Drosophila melanogaster: one gene and its partners. The protein of the gene in region 3 interacts with the protein of the main gene of each other region in a pairwise test. Each region holds a gene or a part of one and is shown on either strand. Other genes may lie near its edges.

Evidence for each region.
Region 1: the proteins of Oli (region 3) and Dr interact in a two-hybrid assay, tested with the Drosophila melanogaster proteins (one large-scale study listed by BioGRID).
Region 2: the proteins of Oli (region 3) and GstD1 interact in a two-hybrid assay, tested with the Drosophila melanogaster proteins (one large-scale study listed by BioGRID).
Region 4: the proteins of Oli (region 3) and betaCOP interact in a two-hybrid assay, tested with the Drosophila melanogaster proteins (one large-scale study listed by BioGRID).

Annotation. Positions count from the first base shown.
Region 1 is NT_033777.3:29,554,390-29,559,390, forward strand, and holds the start of Dr (drop), read left to right. Parts: upstream 1-1,996; 5' UTR 1,997-2,246; coding exon 2,247-3,456; intron 3,457-5,001. UniProt on the Drosophila melanogaster protein: Plays a key role in the specification of proneural and promuscular cluster formation. Required for the specification of dorsal and lateral muscle progenitor cells. Regulates development of peripheral nervous system derived from lateral neuroblasts.
Region 2 is NT_033777.3:12,367,264-12,370,857, reverse strand, and holds GstD1 (glutathione S transferase D1), read left to right. Parts: upstream 1-1,589; 5' UTR 1,590-1,655; intron 1,656-2,264; exon of another isoform or gene 2,265-2,282; 5' UTR 2,283-2,286; coding exon 2,287-2,916; 3' UTR 2,917-3,041; downstream 3,042-3,594. UniProt on the Drosophila melanogaster protein: Conjugation of reduced glutathione to a wide number of exogenous and endogenous hydrophobic electrophiles. Has DDT dehydrochlorinase activity. May be involved in detoxification.
Region 3 is NT_033779.5:17,587,327-17,591,792, forward strand, and holds Oli (olig family), read left to right. Parts: upstream 1-1,857; 5' UTR 1,858-2,253; exon of another isoform or gene 2,254-2,885; 5' UTR 2,886-2,913; coding exon 2,914-3,485; intron 3,486-3,545; coding exon 3,546-3,672; 3' UTR 3,673-3,941; downstream 3,942-4,466. Other genes in the region: CG6870 (uncharacterized protein), read right to left, coding at 4,372-4,466.
Region 4 is NC_004354.4:18,381,021-18,386,781, reverse strand, and holds betaCOP (coat protein (coatomer) beta), read left to right. Parts: upstream 1-1,539; 5' UTR 1,540-1,688; coding exon 1,689-3,319; intron 3,320-3,523; coding exon 3,524-4,179; intron 4,180-4,238; coding exon 4,239-4,400; intron 4,401-4,468; coding exon 4,469-4,742; intron 4,743-4,812; coding exon 4,813-4,918; intron 4,919-5,008; coding exon 5,009-5,074; 3' UTR 5,075-5,233; downstream 5,234-5,761. Other genes in the region: CG6179 (uncharacterized protein), read right to left, coding at 5,549-5,620, 5,683-5,761. UniProt on the Drosophila melanogaster protein: The coatomer is a cytosolic protein complex that binds to dilysine motifs and reversibly associates with Golgi non-clathrin-coated vesicles, which further mediate biosynthetic protein transport from the ER, via the Golgi up to the trans Golgi network.

The DNA of each region.
Region 1 (5,001 bases), on a different chromosome or scaffold from region 3:
GAAGCGTGGACTTTGTTGGTGCTTTTGTTATTGGCCGACTTGCTGCTGCTTTTGCCGGTTTCGTTTCATCTCGAAGTGGTGGGATCGAGAATAGGTGGGGGGAGTGGAGGGGGCTGGAGCTCGCTTATGATGTTTATTGAAAAATTAATTTGCGCCTCGTTGTTGTATTGCTTTTTTTCGGCGCTCATTTGCGTATTTCAAAGCGCAATGAATAATGATGGTGGTTAAGTAGTGGAAAATAAAAGAAGAAACGCTCGACGTGCTTGGCCTGAGAAATTAATATTTGTAATTGGCTATAATTGTTTATGCCAACGGCACAAAGTATAGAAAACGAGACGCAGACAATGATATTAACGAGCTGAGGGGCCTCTCATCGCATTTTGCCGCCATTTCGAAATGTTTAATTGAAAAGAAAGCGGAATTGCCGGGCATCGTAATGAAGAGCTCAAGTTTTGGGAAGTTGGAAAAATTTTAATCAGTCAAGAGGGGCGTTGGAAAAGTGGTAAGAGGTATATCAAGTGTTAATTGAATGGCTGGGAAATGTGAGAAGTTCATAAACGAGTTTACTGTCTTGGTTTCTTTTAAGTGTAATTAAAAACGATTTCGGAAAGAGTTTGAAAAAAGTTCAGAAATTATATAAAAATATTTCTAAATTTCACCCAACCCATTTAGGCAAGAACTCAAATTAATTGGCTAGAATTTCCCCAATCATGCAGAGTCGTTTCATTTTCAGCATCGTTTGCAACTAATTAAGGCAACCACACAGCCATTCGTCAACTGTTCTAATTGAGCTCTTTATTTTCCACCCACTGGCAATTGTCATTAAAATCCTTTCACCAACTTGCCGCCCGAAAAGCCGAGCGAACCCGCACAATCCGACGCCCATTTCCCATTTTCACAACTTGGTCCTTCGAGCAGCGGAAAACAAAGGAGCAGCTGAACAATGGCTGGCAAAAGTTTTCAAGCCAACAATTTCACATAATAATCCTTAAAATGAGTTTAATTTGTAGAGCGAGAATTATAAAGGGTGCGGTATTCCCGCTCCCTCCCTCACTCCACCCGCCAACCTTGCAATTTATGGAGCTTATGGGGGTTGGCAAAATTCTATATAATCCTGCATATTTCACATTTATATGTATGTGATTGATTCGGCCGGGTTCCCGGGACGTTCGATTTATGTGGACCGATCCGATTTTTATGGCTTATCTCCTGAGGTGGAGCAAAAGGGAAGAAAAAACATAATTTCCTGACCGAGATTGCAGCTTTGCGATAATGCCGCTCCACCCGACATTTGATGCTTTTGGGGCCCTGATAATGATGGGCTTATTATTTATTATATTGTTCTTGTACGCTAAGGACATGTAGGAGTGCCAATTAAAATTGAAAAACCGCCTGGTCTATATATACATACATATATATGTACATATTAGGCGTACATAAAGCTTAAAAAATCACGCCAATTTGGCCAAATGAAGTCATAAACGATAAAGAGGGAGATAGAGGGAAAATGGAGATGGAAGGAAAAGCCAGAAAACCAAAGTGGAAATGGACAGGCGTTTGCCGCCGCTGCTTGTTATAAAATGCTAATACGCGCAGCAGCTCGAAAAAAAAGTGGAAAAACGCTTTGAAGATTGAATTATTCAATAATAATTAGGCGTGCGACAGGGACGGCTATACTGCGGGGCAGCTACACCATCTCTGTCTGTACGGCAAGAGTGCGGCAAACTCACCACACTGAAGCGAGAGCGAAAGAGAAAAGAAGGCGGAACAAAAGTCAGAAAAGTGGAGAAATACAAGACTCACACCGGAAAAAAAGAGCGAGCGAGCTAGTCTCGAAACCAATAAAAATGGTGTCGCACGCGGTGCACTCCACCACGGGAGTGAGAGAGAGGCACGCTCTACACAGCCGGTTTCCCACCACCAATCGTCGAGTGCGTCGGTGTGAGTGAGTATCTGTGTGGCAGGCAGCGGTGCATCCGAAACTGCGACCACAGTTTCAGTCGCAGAACAGACGTGATCTCAAGAGGACGTGTCTCTCTCTGGAAATAAATAGCCCCTGAAAAGATACAAAACGCCGCGTGTGACAGTGTGTGTCTGTGTTTCCCAAGCGTGTGACGAACGAGCGCATTAATTGAAAGATAATCAAAACAAATTAACAGCAGACCATGTCTCAATGAACCAATTAACCGGCGCACCTAAAGCACAGTATTAACGAGCCACAGTTACACAAACGATCGAAAGGCTTTATGTTAAAGCTCAGCCCAGCGAGCATGACAGTTACAGGTCTGCGCCAGACGATGACCAGTCCCACGGTGCCGCCGAGCAGTAACACTCCCGCGGGTAACCTCATCATCACCAGCAGCAGTAGCAACAGCGGCAGCAACAGCGGCAGCAACATGAGCAGCGGCAACATGACCAGCAGCAACCTGACCAACCTGAGTCCTAGCCACCCGGCTGGCCTGAATGCCCTGGCCAGTCCCACCTCGCCGTCGGCACTGCTGCTGGCCCATCAGCAGCATCTGCTGCAGCAGCACCAGCAACACCAGCAGCAGCAGCAACAGCAGCAGCAGGCGGCGGCGCTCCAGCTGGCCGCAGTGCATCCGCCGGCCCACCATCTGCACAAGACCACCTCCCGACTGAGCAACTTTAGTGTGGCCTCTCTCCTGGCGGACACGAGGCCCAGAACGCCACCCAACCAGGCGGCGGATGGACCCCAGAACCTGACCAGTTCGGCGGCCACCTCGCCCATCTCCCAGGCCAGCAGCACGCCGCCGCCTCCGCCGGCCAGTGCGGCCGCCCAAGTTCCCGCCAACACCTTCCATCCCGCCGCCGTCGCGCACCACGCCCACTTGCTGCAGGCCGCCCACGCGGCTGCGGCGGCACATGCCCAGCACCAGGCGATGGCCGCCCAGCTGCGCCAACAGCAGCAGCAGGCGGACGCCCGGGCCAACTCGCCACCCGCCTCCACGAGTTCCACGCCCAGCTCCACGCCACTGGGATCCGCACTGGGATCGCAGGGCAATGTGGCCTCCACTCCCGCCAAAAATGAACGCCATTCGCCGCTGGGCAGCCACACGGACTCCGAGCTGGAGTACGACGAGGAGATGCTGCAGGACCACGAGGCCGATCACGACGAGGAGGAGGACTCCATTGTGGATATCGAGGACATGAACGCCGACGACTCGCCGCGCTCCACGCCCGACGGCCTCGACGGCAGCGGCAAGTCGCTGGAATCGCCGCACGGTCCGCCGCCGGGCTCTCACATGCAATCCACGATACTTTCCCCGGCGGCCCTGGCCTCCGGTCATGTGCCCATCCGCCCGACCCCCTTCAGTGCACTGGCCGCCGCGGCGGTGGCCTGGACGGGAATGGGCGGTGGAGTTCCGTGGCCAGGAACCAGACAAATGCCGCCCTTCGGACCGCCTGGCATGTTTCCGGGAGCAGGATTCGGTGGAGGTAAGTGTCGTTATCCAGTTCTTTGTGGGGTTTTTGTCAGCTTGTTTTCGGTTTTTGTACTTCCTAGAGGGGAAATGATAAACCTTATCTGTTACATGTGCTTAACTGTCCTGTCCTAAGCGATATTTTAAACTCATTTGCAATGGAGGATTCAGCATGGGCATAATTAAATAATGGGAAAATAAAAATATATATAGGAGAGAATATAGAACTCAAAAGGTTTACTTCAAAAAAAATAAAAACAACCTCAACTCTCTTTCGAAAATATTTTCAATTTAGAGCCTTAACATCAAAGTAAATATGAGTGTATATATAGTTACATTTCATATATTTATTTATAATTAACTGTAAACCCATAAACATGAACTTCTGAACCCGTGAACAATAGAAATACGCGAATTCCGCTTGGGAGCAAATTCCCCATTAGCAGCCAGCGATGTGTATTCAAAAACGATTTATTTAATGGAGGAATTTCAAACCACCCACCCCACCCCTCATTGTTTTATGCCCCATGTGCGGTGGCAACTTTATCTACACCATTTTGTGTCGCATTTTAATTCAATTAACTGCCGCCCCTCGCCTTAATTGGCATCGATGGTGACTCTCCGCTCCTGGTCGGACGCGAGCTGCGGGTGCTCCATCATGGCCACCTCGTCGTCATCGTCATCATGGCTATGGAATGGAAGTGATCGTGACTGCAGTTTGTAGTCAAAGTGCGTGGCAATTATTGCGGGGCCTTAAATAAAACAATGAAAACTGCCTGATTGCGCTGGGCCCATTATTTGATGATGATGATGATGATGATGGCTGATGGCTGATGATAGTCGCGTCGGTTCTGATTTGACTCAATTGGCCACGTCTGATTATTCATTGCACTCGCTGGCCAGCGGCGTTTTTCGGTGTTTTCCGGTCTGACAGCCAGCCAGCCCCCCATTACCGTTCCCGAATTGGAAAATCTAATAATAAGCGCGTAAAAAGCGGACTGTCTAACCGACCAGCCAGACTAATTGAAGCGAGTCTGGCTGTTTAACTGGGCGATCTCTATCTGCATGCACAGTTCACACTTTGCCTGCATTTCCTGGACAAAAAGCACCGCGGGTCGTAGGGAAAAACTGGTGGAAAATCGGGGAAAACACTCGACAAGTCACACTTTGATGCCGGACTGACATGTGAACTTTACTCGGCCATCGCGAACTCTGCGTTTCCGCTCCTTAAAGTTGCTCAAACACATTCGAAAAACTCGGAAAGGGCGGTGCAAAAACGGTGGGCAAAAAAGTGTAAATTTGCTTTTTATATGCAGAACAGCAACTATTGTTCCTGTTTTTGCTGCATATGCTCGGGTTTTTCTTGCCACTACAAAGCATTGTTTTATAAAGCTGTCGGCTGTGTTTTGAAAAAAAGGGCTTCAAATGGGGTGTTGTATTAGGAAATTTGGGCTTTAAAGTAGGTTAGTTCGAGTATTACCATATTACCGCCTCATTCAAACTATTAATACATGAAATTCCAGAACTGCATCTCTAAAAGTGCTTTCATAAATTCCAAAAT
Region 2 (3,594 bases), on a different chromosome or scaffold from region 3:
CGCACATTTGGCAATGCCGTCCAACTGGTTTTTTTGATCTGCAGTGGCAAACACAGTGACCTTTCTCTACATTTTACGCTACCTTTTGGGCCGGCTTTTTGGTGAATTAACCCAACCAGTTATTGGCGAACTTATACTTACGATCTCGTGTTTCCCATGATTCAGCTGGATTTCGGCATTATGTTCAAATGAGTAACTCTCGGAACTTGGGGTTCGGAATTTTTGATTTCACAATCGTTTTGTGGATTGTTCTCGACGTTAAGAGCGCAATTTGTTTGACGTGTCGCCCACGAAAATGCTCTTTCCATTTTTTCCTACTTGTTATTGAATTTTTTTGCCCGGTCATGCTGATAGTTGGTATTGCGAATTGTGAAACTGATAAAAGCGAATTTGTTTTGGGGAAATTAAATACCCCCAGCGAAGTGTAGCAGGAATATTCAAGTGTTCGCCTTTGATAGTATCAAATACTTCCAAGAAATGAAAGTCTAGTATTCCTTTTCATGTTATATGGTCACAGCAATTACTTATTAAAACCCAAGGCCGTCATAACAAACACAAACAATAAAAGTCGATCGATATATGGACTAAGCCCATCCATATTGTTACATTGAAAATGTGTACCAGTAATTTCGAATTTGCATGTGCCTTTGACTCATCATTTAATCTACTACTATTTGTCTACCATAGCTTGGGCTTACCCATTAAAATTATTACTATGAGTCAAAGTATATTGAATAATTCGAAAAACGGTTATATTTTTATGGTCTTATTAGTACGGTATGAGCCTTTCGCGATTTGCTTGTGTGTTGGAAATACTCGACAACTGTTGCTATATATGTACATATGTACATACATACATATATGTTTGCCTGATATCAATGTTTGCCGGCCGGCTTGAATTCTTATCTGGTTTCTGTTTGCCTGCTTATTTGTTTGTACTTATTTTTTTTTGCATTTTAAAAGAATTTATGTTTTTTCAGGCGCACAGATGTTCATTAGAAATGCAAAATTGTGTTTCAAGCTAATCGATTGCATGCTTATGTGTTTGCTAATCTTAGCAAGTCGATGTGTAAATACCCTACGATTAATAATACCTGTATGGCAGGATTGTATCTTCTTTGTTATCTGTTTGTTAAAATCAGAAATTATAAAGAAATGTAACAAAATTTGTTCTTAAGCGAGTAAAAGGCTTCGTTCCAATGGAGGATCATTAGAAAGTTGCAGCTTTCTTTTGCGGGGGTATGGTGGAGGTGTATGAGGGAACGGATAGAGTGCAACCTCCTCCAGAGCACGCACACACACACTATCAATCGTCTCCACACACCCATGGCCACACAACAGTGTATTAATCACGCCGCTAACGTCACATTTTTGCCCGCCATTAGTGGGTATGTGTGGGCAAGTCAGAATATAATAGAAGACAAAAAAAAAACCCAGGCACGACAACAACTAGCAGCCCCCTCTCTCTCTCTCTGTACCTCTCTCCCCACCTTGCCACGCCCCGCGGGGCGCTTCAAGCTACAACTCTTGTTTGCCGGCATTGTGGCGACCACAGCCGGCCCCTATAAAAGTGGGCTCGCTCTTCGAATTCCGTTCAGTGCTACTTTTCATTTGATACAGTGTACATCGCGAGTTTCACAACAGAAGAAAAAAATGTAAGTTCCCCACAGCAATTTCTATATATATTGTGTTTTGTGATTGTGTGCCTGTGTTTGGTCAAAAATAAAAGGAAATATTGGCAGCATGGAAAATTACCAACATTTGAACGTATTATAGCCCCGATATGACATCATAGCCAAGTGAACTTCTGTAATGGCGGCCCAATTAAAGTCCGCTTTTGCTGAACTTGTAATTATAGAGCGCGTCTAATTGTGGCATATCTTTCTAGCATCCAGATCTATTCTGTTTGCATGCCATATGGATAATGTGTATAATACAGAAGCAATTTGGGTCTCAAGAAGGGGGAGATTGTTAATTTAAATATGAATGCGACGCTTGTGGATATGCTTGAAAAAGTTTGGTGCTCACATCTAAATTTGAAAAGAAGTTGGAGATTTGTTCACTCCAATCAAATATGGCGGACTCACAATTGTTTTCAGTTTCTTTTCAACTTGATTCTTCTTCCATTTAAAACCCAAATTAGAAATACAAATGAATGCCCTAAGCTTTTAAATAACCGTTGGTTAGAAATTAGCGAAGATAATAATATTTCTTAACAAGTTGGCTACAAATTATTTATTGCGAGCACTGTAACTAAATGATAGTTCTTCGAACTTCTACAGTAAAATGGTTGACTTCTACTACCTGCCCGGCTCCTCCCCCTGCCGCTCCGTGATCATGACCGCCAAGGCCGTGGGCGTCGAGCTGAACAAGAAGCTGCTCAACCTGCAGGCCGGTGAGCACCTGAAGCCGGAGTTCCTGAAGATCAATCCCCAGCACACCATTCCCACGCTGGTGGACAACGGATTCGCGCTGTGGGAGTCCCGCGCCATCCAGGTGTATTTGGTGGAGAAGTACGGCAAGACCGACTCCCTGTACCCTAAGTGCCCCAAGAAGCGCGCCGTGATCAATCAGCGCCTGTACTTCGACATGGGAACGCTGTACCAGAGCTTCGCCAACTACTACTACCCACAGGTGTTCGCCAAGGCGCCCGCCGATCCAGAGGCCTTCAAGAAGATCGAGGCCGCCTTCGAGTTCCTGAACACCTTCCTGGAGGGACAGGACTACGCCGCCGGTGACTCCCTTACCGTAGCCGACATTGCCCTGGTGGCAACCGTGTCCACATTCGAGGTGGCCAAATTCGAGATCAGCAAGTACGCCAATGTGAACAGGTGGTACGAGAACGCCAAGAAGGTGACTCCCGGATGGGAGGAGAACTGGGCCGGATGCCTGGAGTTCAAGAAGTACTTCGAATAAGCCTGATATTCACGTTTTTATACCCGTACATATGATGTAGTATTTATATTCACGTTCACAAACAACAATTCCAAATTCGCCTGTCTCCAAAGACAATAAATAAGTGTTCTTTTTTTTGAATGCACAAAATACAAATGAGTTTGTTTTTAGATGGGTGTACATTTACATATATTACTATGTGTATGTGGATAGTGGATATTGTGGATAGGGACTGCAATTGAATAAGTGGGCTCTCTTGATGCTCGTTATTTTCTCTTTGATGCCAGGGGTGATTCTCTTTCCTCTTTTGCTAAATCTCTCCGAATCGAGAGGCAAACAAAAAAAGATAATAAAAGATAGAATATTTTCGCGATGCTCGTTAGTTTTATGTGGTGAAGGCCTCAAAAAAGAAGCTTGAAAATCTGTAAGGAAAAAGTGAGAAATTATCAGACTTAAATTCATTGGTGAAATAGATTAGAAACTTAGAGTGAATTTCGTTTTGGTTCTGAAATTTTCATCAGAAAGGCAGCTCTTGTAATTTCTTGTTCTTCAAAAAGCTTTTAACGGTAGATAACAAAGTGGAAAATTACCAAGTTAAATTATTCATTTAAAAGGAAGCAAATCTCGACATATTTTATATATTATGGGCACCATTTTTAATAAAAACACAGTTTGTAGATATTTATGTTATTTTTCTGA
Region 3 (4,466 bases):
GCCCGAAACCCAAAAAAAAAAAAAACTCTCACAATCACGCAGCAAATGGTGCATTGCCTAGAGGGGCTGTCCAGATTCCGGATTTCATTGAAAATAATGGCATACGGTGACTGCTGCCCCGAACATCTGACACAATAATTTTCCCTACGAAAGGAGGGAAGCGCAAACAAAGGCCAAATGGAAAAGTTGCCAGCGCAAATTATTAAATTTATCATGCGCGAAGTCATTAGGTCTGTCGCCCGTGCTCGTAGTTTGACTTATTCTAAGGACTAAACGACTGCAGGCAGCTCCACGCACACACACTCCGCCACTTATACATAAATGTCCTGCGAGGCCCGAAGTGTGGAAAGTCATTAGTGGGCATTGCAGTTGACAGGAGGATGGAGATGCTGGCTTTGGATAATAAACATCTGCTTTAGCTATGGAACTTGTAAAATAACAAAGTTTATAACTTTAAAAGAGGCATCTTCGAAAAATTATTTCAAATTTTGACTTAACAATTTACAAGTCGATAAAAAAAAGAATGTTCACAGATTTTTTCGATTAAATTTTATTATTAAAAAAATTCTCTATTGATTGATTTTAAATATTTATCAGAGCAGCACTAACAAAGAATCTTCATCGGACGACTTTTTAAAAAAATGTTTGATTTTCATGATAATTTTGTTAGGTTGTCATTTAAACAGCGGATTTCTAAATATTTCAAAAAATATTTCAATTGAAAAACACTCTTATAATACTCTTAATTGAAAAATGTGTCCTTTTATATTTAAATTAATAAAAATATACCCACACCCAAAGATTGCTTAAAACTAATAAATACAATCAAATAAATAAATATGTGGCCTAGATCTGCCTAGCACTTCCTATCATTTTCCATACCTTTTTCTAGCTTATGCCTTTGCCAACGAAAATATTTGGCATGTGCCATTTATGGCATTGTTCCAGCTTTGAACAATGCGATACCATAATTTCCAGGCAACTCGCAAACGCACAAACTCGCTCACGTAGAGAATGCCATGCAGATGCGGCATCCTCTGAGCTATGCTGTATATGGGCATATAGGCGAAATACTAGGATGCACGGGCTATGGACGGCTATTCGTGGTCCTTGTTCCTCGTTCAACCCCCTAGGACAGGAATCCAGGACTGGCCAGGCGGCCCAGGATCAGCAGGCAGTGAGCATGTGATTAGATTCAGTTTCAATGGAAATTGAAATCACAGACAAAGGAGCGGACCCGGCGGATTCAGGGTGCGAGGGGTGGTGATGGGCCATCAGGGTTGAAAAGGAGCGAAGCGATAAAAATCCTGAACAACAAGAAAAGTGAATTTTCGGACAGGCAGGGCAAAGGCATTAAAAACTTCATACACTTGTAAAAAATTTGACTGCACTAAATAATATTCAACAATTAAATGCAACTTTGAGAGATAACAAAAGTTTTTGGTTTTCGTTACAATCAAGTGTGGTTATAGTTAATTATTACTTAACCAATTGAAAAATGCAGACTTTTATTTAATATACAAAATAATGATTAATAATGAATAGATTATTAATTAGTATGATTTTATACCATTTTTAAATGCAAATATGTAATTGTTAACTTTTCAATAGCAGATTAGATTTATGTTAGAAATTATTATTATTTTGTGTAGGGTATATCTGATGCTATATGTTATGTTTCAAAAAGGTTTCGATCATTAGTAATCATTTTTTTTTCTTAGTGCTGAAACTGTGACTCATTCACCTTTGTGAGTATTGGTAATAATCGTGCTGTATGTATTGGTGTGGATGCTGCATTATGCGAAGCCCAACCACTAAACGTCAACCACCGGCGTCGACACCCGACCCACATTTTATATAGTGGCTCATAATATTCCTTCTGCAGAAAGAGATTAACACCAAACGGCGACGGTGGCGTCGGTGGCAAAAAGTTTATAATCATCCTCGCTGACAGAGCGAAAGAGACGGGCGATTGGAAAGCATAGGCGGAGGCAGGGAGAGAGAGAGAGAGAGTGAGCGGAGAAAATCGGAAAATCGTTATGCGACTACTATAACCCACCACAAAATCGCGGTCGTCTCTGTTGTTGCCGGGCACCTCACACTCGCGCATCGATTCCGATTGCGATTCAGGATCTGAATTTTTTGCCTGGTTTGTGGTGCGTGCGATTTTTAAAAATGTTTAAATCCGCAATTTCTTTCTCCGTGCTCTGTGCTCTTCGTCCCCTTCGTACACCGGCGAACTTGTGATTTGTGGTTAATTTAAATTAATAATCTTTTAAGTGTGTCATGAATTAACTGCAAGTTAAATAAAGTGCTGCGTCGATTTTGCATATTTTATAATCCATTTCGTTGGGTTAATAATTGCCAAATTTATTATTTATATATATTGACGTATAATTTTAAAGTTTATTGTTTTCTGAAGTGCTGCGCTCCTAAATAAATTTAATGCCGCTAAAATTGTATTCGCCATGAAACATCATATTAAACCATCCCTTAAATTGGACTACTACACAGCGCCACCTATGAAAAGCTTTGATAAGCTTATATTCATCTTGTTAATCTGACTACCGCGTAATATTTTGGCTTTGAATTTCCGAAAGGCTTAACGATTATTTTGCTTTAATTAAATTTAAGGAATACCTGACAGACGTTTGCAATTTGTTAAACCATTTCGGGTTAAAACACAAAACAGATGCTCCACCTATAAAAAGCTTTGCTAACCTATTAAATACATAAAATTCCGACAGATGGCGCTACCGAACAGCTGAGCATACGAGTATTCACCCCTATTTTTTAGTTTTCTTATGCAACCCTGCATCATAATAACTTTGATTTGCAAGGACTACCCTAAAAGATTACACATCCCTTCAACCTTTTTTTCACAGCTGGAAAAGTCCCATAAAATACAAAAAAATGGATCCCTCGAATCTTGCTTTTGGTTTTCCCGGTCTCCCCAACCACGGACACATGCCAATACCTCCTACAGCCAATATGCTTGGTGGCCAGCATCCAGCACCCACCGCCAGCCCACCACAAAGCGTCCCCGGCCGTCGGACGCCACTTGGATCGGTTGGTCTGGGTGGTTTCTATGCCCAGGGAATGGGCATGTCCCAGCAGCCACCGACGGATGAGAACAAACCAGGGCCCAGTGCTCCGGAGAAGCCATTGAGTCCCACGGCCGCCGCCATCGCAGCCATTGCCATCAGTGGTGGCACCACCACGGTGGCCGTGTCCAGTGGTGGCGCCAGCGGAAGTGGCTCCAACAGTGGCAAGCAGAAAAACCGCCAGGGAAAGACGGTAAGGCTGAACATAAATGCCCGGGAACGACGAAGGATGCACGATTTGAATGATGCCCTTGATGAGCTGAGAAGTGTGATTCCCTATGCCCATTCGCCTTCTGTGCGAAAGCTGTCGAAAATAGCCACCTTGCTGCTGGCTAAGAACTACATTCTGATGCAGCAAAATGCTCTCGAGGAGTTGAGAAGGTAACGTAGTTCATTACCACGCTCAATAGGAATTATTAACATATATGCTTTTACTTTTAGACTTTTGGCCTATATACAAAGCACCACGGGAGCAGCGCCACTGGATTTGGGTGCATTTCCGGCGGCTGCCAAGTTGCAGGCTCTTCTTCAAGGACCTCACAACGAACCACCGACTAGCAGCAGTTAAATAGGAGTGGGGGCCACCATAAACTATGGTTCAACTGATAAGCAATCCATTAATGAGCAATACTTTTAAGTCAATTGGAAAGCAAATGCCAAATACTTGTGTACTAGTCAGACGAAAGGAGGTTGATAAGGAGCCTCTTATCAGAGCAGCCAAGTGAAAATCTGTTCAGTGATATTTATTTTTGTCATAAGCATTTCTTATTTATGCATTTACCCAATGTCAACCAATATGTGTAAGATGAATATTACCGAATAAAGTATTATTGAAGTAGAAAGTATGTCGTTGGAAAAGGGTTTGGTCATTTAGGTTTACCCATCAGCACTGATAGAAGCCTGTCATTTTTCAGAATCATCAAACAAACAAACAAAATAAGAGTTTCAAATACTCAAACACGCCCAACCCAACCAACCATTTATAGTCATCAGATAACAAACATCAAAGAGCACAATCAAATTTAAAATAATATAATCTTAGATCCGTTTCAAGTCTTGGCAAAAATATTTAACATATAAATATACATACATAGTTGTCTGTATGGTTTTTGATGATTAAGCAAAAGCCGTTTAGCGGAATTCGAAATAAGCGGATTACAACTAGAAAACTAGTCGATGAATACTCTAAAAATATATATATATATAGACATATACGACATGGAGGACGGCGGCGAAGGCGATCGGTGCAAAATCGGCTGGCATTATATTATTCCGGTATGCCCAGGGACAAAACCTTGTTTTTGCCAGTGCGAAAAATGTGCTGCTTGGTGGGCAGTTGACCGATCAAGAAATCCTTCATCA
Region 4 (5,761 bases), on a different chromosome or scaffold from region 3:
AATTCACTCTTCTTGGAAGTAAACAAATTAAGAGTAATTGCCTTTTATTTATACACTCCGAGGGGATATTTTTTGAATTTTTAATTGGACGCATAACTACGATCTTGAGATGGCCAATTTGAAAAGTGCAAGTATTTATTATGATAATTTAAATGATTGCACTGCGTTTAGATAATTTGCAAGCAAAATCTAGATTTATATGTTATGCGAAATTGTTTTATATTCCTAAAAATGCAGGGGATAAACTTCGAGTGGATAAACTTGGAGCTCATTTAAGCTTCTGCAAAAAGTGAGAGTATGCGCTATTCGCATATCACTCACATTCGCTTTCGCACTCGTCTCTAGTTTTATATACTTCAATTTCGCCCCGCTATCAGGGCATTTGTTTATTCAGGCCGGGCACAGAACCTGTTCCACGATGGGATCAGATCACCTAGCTAGTCACCCGCACCGGCTCGTTGCAGTAAGAGCAACGAAGAGGAGCTGTGGAGAACTGTCCACATCCAGCAGAGAATTGACGAACTGCTTAAAATGCAGGCCGTGCCTCCTCCTTTGAGGGAGGGGGCGTGGCTGGGCAATGAGTCGCGGGGGCGGCAATTGAATGATGAAGTGCAAAACGAGATCACAATGGCAAATGCCGTGGGACTTGGGACGTGGGCGTGGGCGGGGATCTTTCTAGTGGAATCGAAACCAGAAACCGAATTAGATTGCTTGGCAGTGCCGCAGATGCAAACACACACACTTCGCACTGGGCAAGGTCAAGAGCCCCGGAGCGGTCGGGAATTTACCCGGATCGCAATGGGTTGGGGATTTTTCCGAGTAGTCCGAGGTGGCCTCTTATCAGCAGTCCTCTGGCACGGAGGCTATCTGCAGCCAGGTAATAGAAGGGAGGTAATGGAGCTACGCCCAGCACAAAGTGTGTTTGTCAGCGCAAAAGCTTCGTTGCATTATTTAACCGCACGGAAAAGGCATTCATCAGGGAAATTGTATGCGATAAAAATGAAGCACTGCTACTCACTTATTTTAAGTACAAATTGCAAATCGAATGGCATTTTTGAAACAGTGATACTTACTATTTTAAATAAAAGTATATAACAAAATAATATTTTGTTAAATGTGTTATATATGAAATGAAAAATTCATTAGCTTTAACTTAATGTAGAATAATTTGTTTATAACACTTTTCATTTTTTACATTTTTGGCATGCATTTACATAGTTACATAGCATTTCAAACTGCAGTTATGGCGCGAAAAAGACACTGTAACTTAACAGCACTCGCTCTGTAGATGCAAGCACTGCAATGCAAGTAAATTTCCAGCTATACATTTGTGGAGCTTAAGTGCATCTGCTTTTTGTACATTCTAATGTTAAACTTGTTGAACTAAAAAATGATAAGAATGATAAATAACAATCAAATAACAAAACGTTTGAAAAGCGCGCCAAGTGCGCTCAACAGCCCGCTGTTAGCCGAAGCGGTTGCTGGCCGGCGGTGTGCGTCCCCGCTAGAGCACTGCGCAGCCCTGGCAGCACTCGCGTGGCATTTCCGCACGGCGCCGCGCACGGTCACACCCTGTTAGCATTGTGACACGTCGGAAAGACCAAAAAAAAACTGAATTTGGAAATTAGGAAATAAGTTGGTCAATTGGCATTATCGGGATAAACAGGCGAACGGAATAGGCAGCCACGATGACGTCGCAAGTGCCGTGCTACACGATAATCAACTCGCCGGACCTGGAGGTGACCAACGAGATGCAACTGAAGCGCGATCTCGAAAAGGGCGACACGAACGTGAAGATCGAGACGCTGAAGCGGGTAATCAAGTTGCTGCTGAATGGGGAGCGGTATCCGGGCCTGATCATGACCATCATACGCTTCGTCCTGCCGGTGCAGAACCACACGATCAAGAAGCTGCTGCTCATCTTCTGGGAAATTGTGCCGAAGACATCGGCGGATGGGAAGCTGCTGCAGGAGATGATACTGGTGTGCGATGCGTACAGGAAGGATTTGCAGCATCCCAATGAGTTTCTGCGCGGCTCGACACTGCGCTTCCTCTGCAAGCTGAAGGAGCCGGAGCTGCTGGAGCCACTGATGCCGGCCATACGGGCGTGCCTGGATCACCGGCACTCGTATGTGCGACGAAATGCCGTGCTGGCCATCTTTACCATCTACAAGAACTTCGATTGGCTGGTGCCCGATGGGCCGGAGCTGATTGCCAGCTTCCTGGACACGCAGCAGGACATGAGCTGCAAGCGCAACGCCTTCCTTATGCTACTGCATGCGGACCAGGAGCGAGCGCTCAACTATCTGGCCAGTTGCATCGATCAGGTGCACACTTTCGGCGATATACTGCAGCTGGTCATCGTGGAGCTGATCTATAAGGTGTGCCATGCCAATCCCGCCGAGCGTTCGCGGTTCATACGCTGCATCTACAACCTGCTGAACTCCAGCTCGAATGCGGTGCGTTACGAGTCCGCTGGCACATTGATTACGCTCTCGCTGGCGCCCACGGCCATCAAGGCGGCGGCCAGTTGCTACATCGAACTGGTGGTCAAGGAGAGCGACAACAACGTCAAGCTAATCGTGCTCGATCGCCTGGTGGCCATGAAGGAGCACGAGGGCATGGAGAAGGTGATGCAGGATCTGGTGATGGACGTTCTGCGCGTCCTGGCCGCACCAGACATCGAGGTGCGCAGGAAAACACTCGCGCTGGCCCTGGACTTGGTCTATTCGCGTAATATTGGCGAAATGGTGCTGGTCCTCAAGAAGGAGGTGGCCAAGACGCACAATGTGGAGCACGAGGACACTGGCAAGTACAGGCAGCTGCTCGTCCGCACCCTGCACACCTGCTCCATCAAGTTTCCCGATGTGGCCGCCAATGTTATACCCGTACTGGTTGAATTCCTCTCGGATACCAACGAACTTGCCGCCGCCGATGTGCTTATCTTCATACGCGAAGCCATCCAAAAGTTCCCCGCCCTGCGCGCCCTCATCATTGAGCATTTAATTGAGGCCTTCCCGCAGATTAAGTCCTCCAAAATTCATCGCGCCGCCGTTTGGATTTTGGGTGAATACGTGGAGGGCTCGCAAATCCTGGAGGTGATTGCCGTCATTCAGCAGACGCTGGGCGAAGTGCCCATGGTGGAGGCGGAGCAGCGTCGCTTGGCCGGCGACCAGACCGAGGAGCAGAAGCAGCAGCAGGGATCCGCAGGCGGCAATGCAGCTGGATCCGCCGCAGAGGGCTCTGGCTCCGGAAACGCCAGCAACAAGGTCACCTCCGATGGAACCTATGCCACCCAGAGTGCCTACAGTCTGGCCCCGTAAGTAATGGCTACGTGTACGTATATCATGCCACCAATGAGGCATTCGAGGCTTGTGGCATTGCATCAGCTTGCACTGATAAGTATGCCTCTAGCTAGACATGCCCATTATCTATTGTTCGGCAATGAGTCATCTTAATACGTAGCACCTACAAAATAGTTGTTTGCAGTTCTGATTCTAACGCTGGTTAATGCTTTCTGCAGGGTGGCCAAGGCGGAGAAACGTCCGCCATTGCGTCAGTACTTGATGGACGGCGACTTCTTCATCGGCGCCGCTCTATCCGCCACGTTGACCAAGCTGGCACTGCGCTACGCAGAGCTGGAGACGGAGGCGCGTGCCCAGAATCGTCTGACCACGCAGGTAATGCTGATCATGAGCTCGATACTGCACCTGGGCAAGTCCGGTTTCCCTAGCAAGCCCATAACCAACGATGACACCGATCGCATCTTCGTCTGCCTGCGCACGCTGAGCGAACGCACGCCGGAGGCTATCTCCGTCTTCACACTGTACTGCCGCGAGGCTCTGGGCAAGATGCTGGATGCGCAGCACGACGAGGACCAGCGCATGTTGAAGGAGAAGCAGAAGGCCACCGCCAAGGTGCAGCCGGACGATCCGGTGCTCTTTGCACAGCTCTCGAACGGACGTGACAATCAGCTGGGCGAGAATGTGTTCGAATCCAGTCTGAACCAGGCGTTGGCCGGCAGCAAGAACGCCCAGCTGAGCGACGTGGCCTCGCCGAACAGCAAGCTCAACAAGGTCACCCAACTGACTGGCTTCTCGGATCCCGTCTATGCGGAGGCCTACGTCAATGTCAATCAGTACGATATTGTCCTGGACGTGCTGATCGTCAACCAGACCAGTGAGTAGTGCATCTTTAGGCGAAAGGGCATCGCTTTCAATCCATGAAATCACTTTCAGACGACACGCTACAGAACTGCACACTGGAGTTGGCCACATTGGGCGATCTTAAGCTGGTGGAGCGCCCGCATCCAGTGGTCCTGGCTCCGCACGACTTCTGCAATATCAAGGCCAACGTAAAGGTCTCCTCCACAGAGAACGGCATCATCTTCGGCAATATTGGTGAGTTGCTAATTGCGGAATTCGCTGTTAAAGTGCACTCACGCTCACTTATGGCGCTTAACCAACAGTTTACGAAACCGCCCTGAACACGAATGTGGTGGTCCTCAATACCATTCACATCGACATCATGGACTACATAATTCCGGCCAGCTGCACGGACACCGAGTTCCGTCAAATGTGGCAGGACTTCGAGTGGGAGAACAAGGTCACCGTCAACACCAGCTTCACCGACCTGCACGAATATCTCAAGCACCTGCTGAAGAGCACCAACATGAAGTGCCTCACGCCGGAGAAGGCGCTGTCCGGCCAGTGCGGCTTCATGGCCGCCAACATGTACGCCAAGTGAGTGTCCAGCTGTCCACTATGGAGTAGCCATCATATTCTCATCACAACTCATCCGCTCACTTTGCAGGTCCATTTTCGGAGAGAATGCCTTGGCCAATCTGAGTATCGAGAAGCCCGTCGATGATCCCGATTCGAAGGTGACGGGACACATACGCATTCGCGCCAAGAGTCAGGTGAGAGTCGAGCACAAACCAGCCGCACATCTGCACATGGTCATGCGCAACTTTCTAATCCGTATTCCGTATTTCGCGCCTTTCACACAGGGCATGGCCTTGAGTCTGGGCGACAAGATCAGCTCCTCGCAGAAGCAGTCGGTGCAGGCGGCCTAGTGGACGTGGAACTGGACGTGGACGACCAGCCACCAGCAGGAGCGACGTATCTAGACGACGTACTCGGCCACCTGCCCGCATTCCGCCAGCTGCAGCTTCTTCAATTTACATTACACGTTACAATTATACATAAAGAATATAATATTATACCTTAACCCCAAGATTGGCAGTGGTTTCATTTGACGGGGCTGTTTCCATAGAAATTCGGACTACTGGTTAATTGGTTGTGTGGTACGAGTATCAGTGTATTTATTTTGTTTTTTCCTATTTAACAATAAGTATGTATGCACTTCGTCTTGCAATAAACGAAAAGGTAGAATTGGAACAGATAAAATACCCAAGTTTTGTATAAGTTATGATACACAATTGTTTTAAAATCTGGAGAAATAATTGATTGTTTAAACTAGCTAGTGCTAAAACGATTACATTTCTATTGAAGTGCTCCCAAGTAGCTGGCGGCTATATAAATTCGTCTTAGGCCTGGAGCATGGGCCGTTTTTCCTTGGCCTGGAGGTGGTCGTTCGTCGTTGCGTAGCCAGTGCCGCCCTGTGAAATAGTCGAGAAACCTTAGCAATGCAGAATAGTTGCACAGTTCGCGATGTACTTACTCGCTGCAGGGGAATGATGTCCTTCTCCTTGAGCTTGCGATCCGTGAGCGGATGGATCATGTCCTTTCTGATCAGCCGT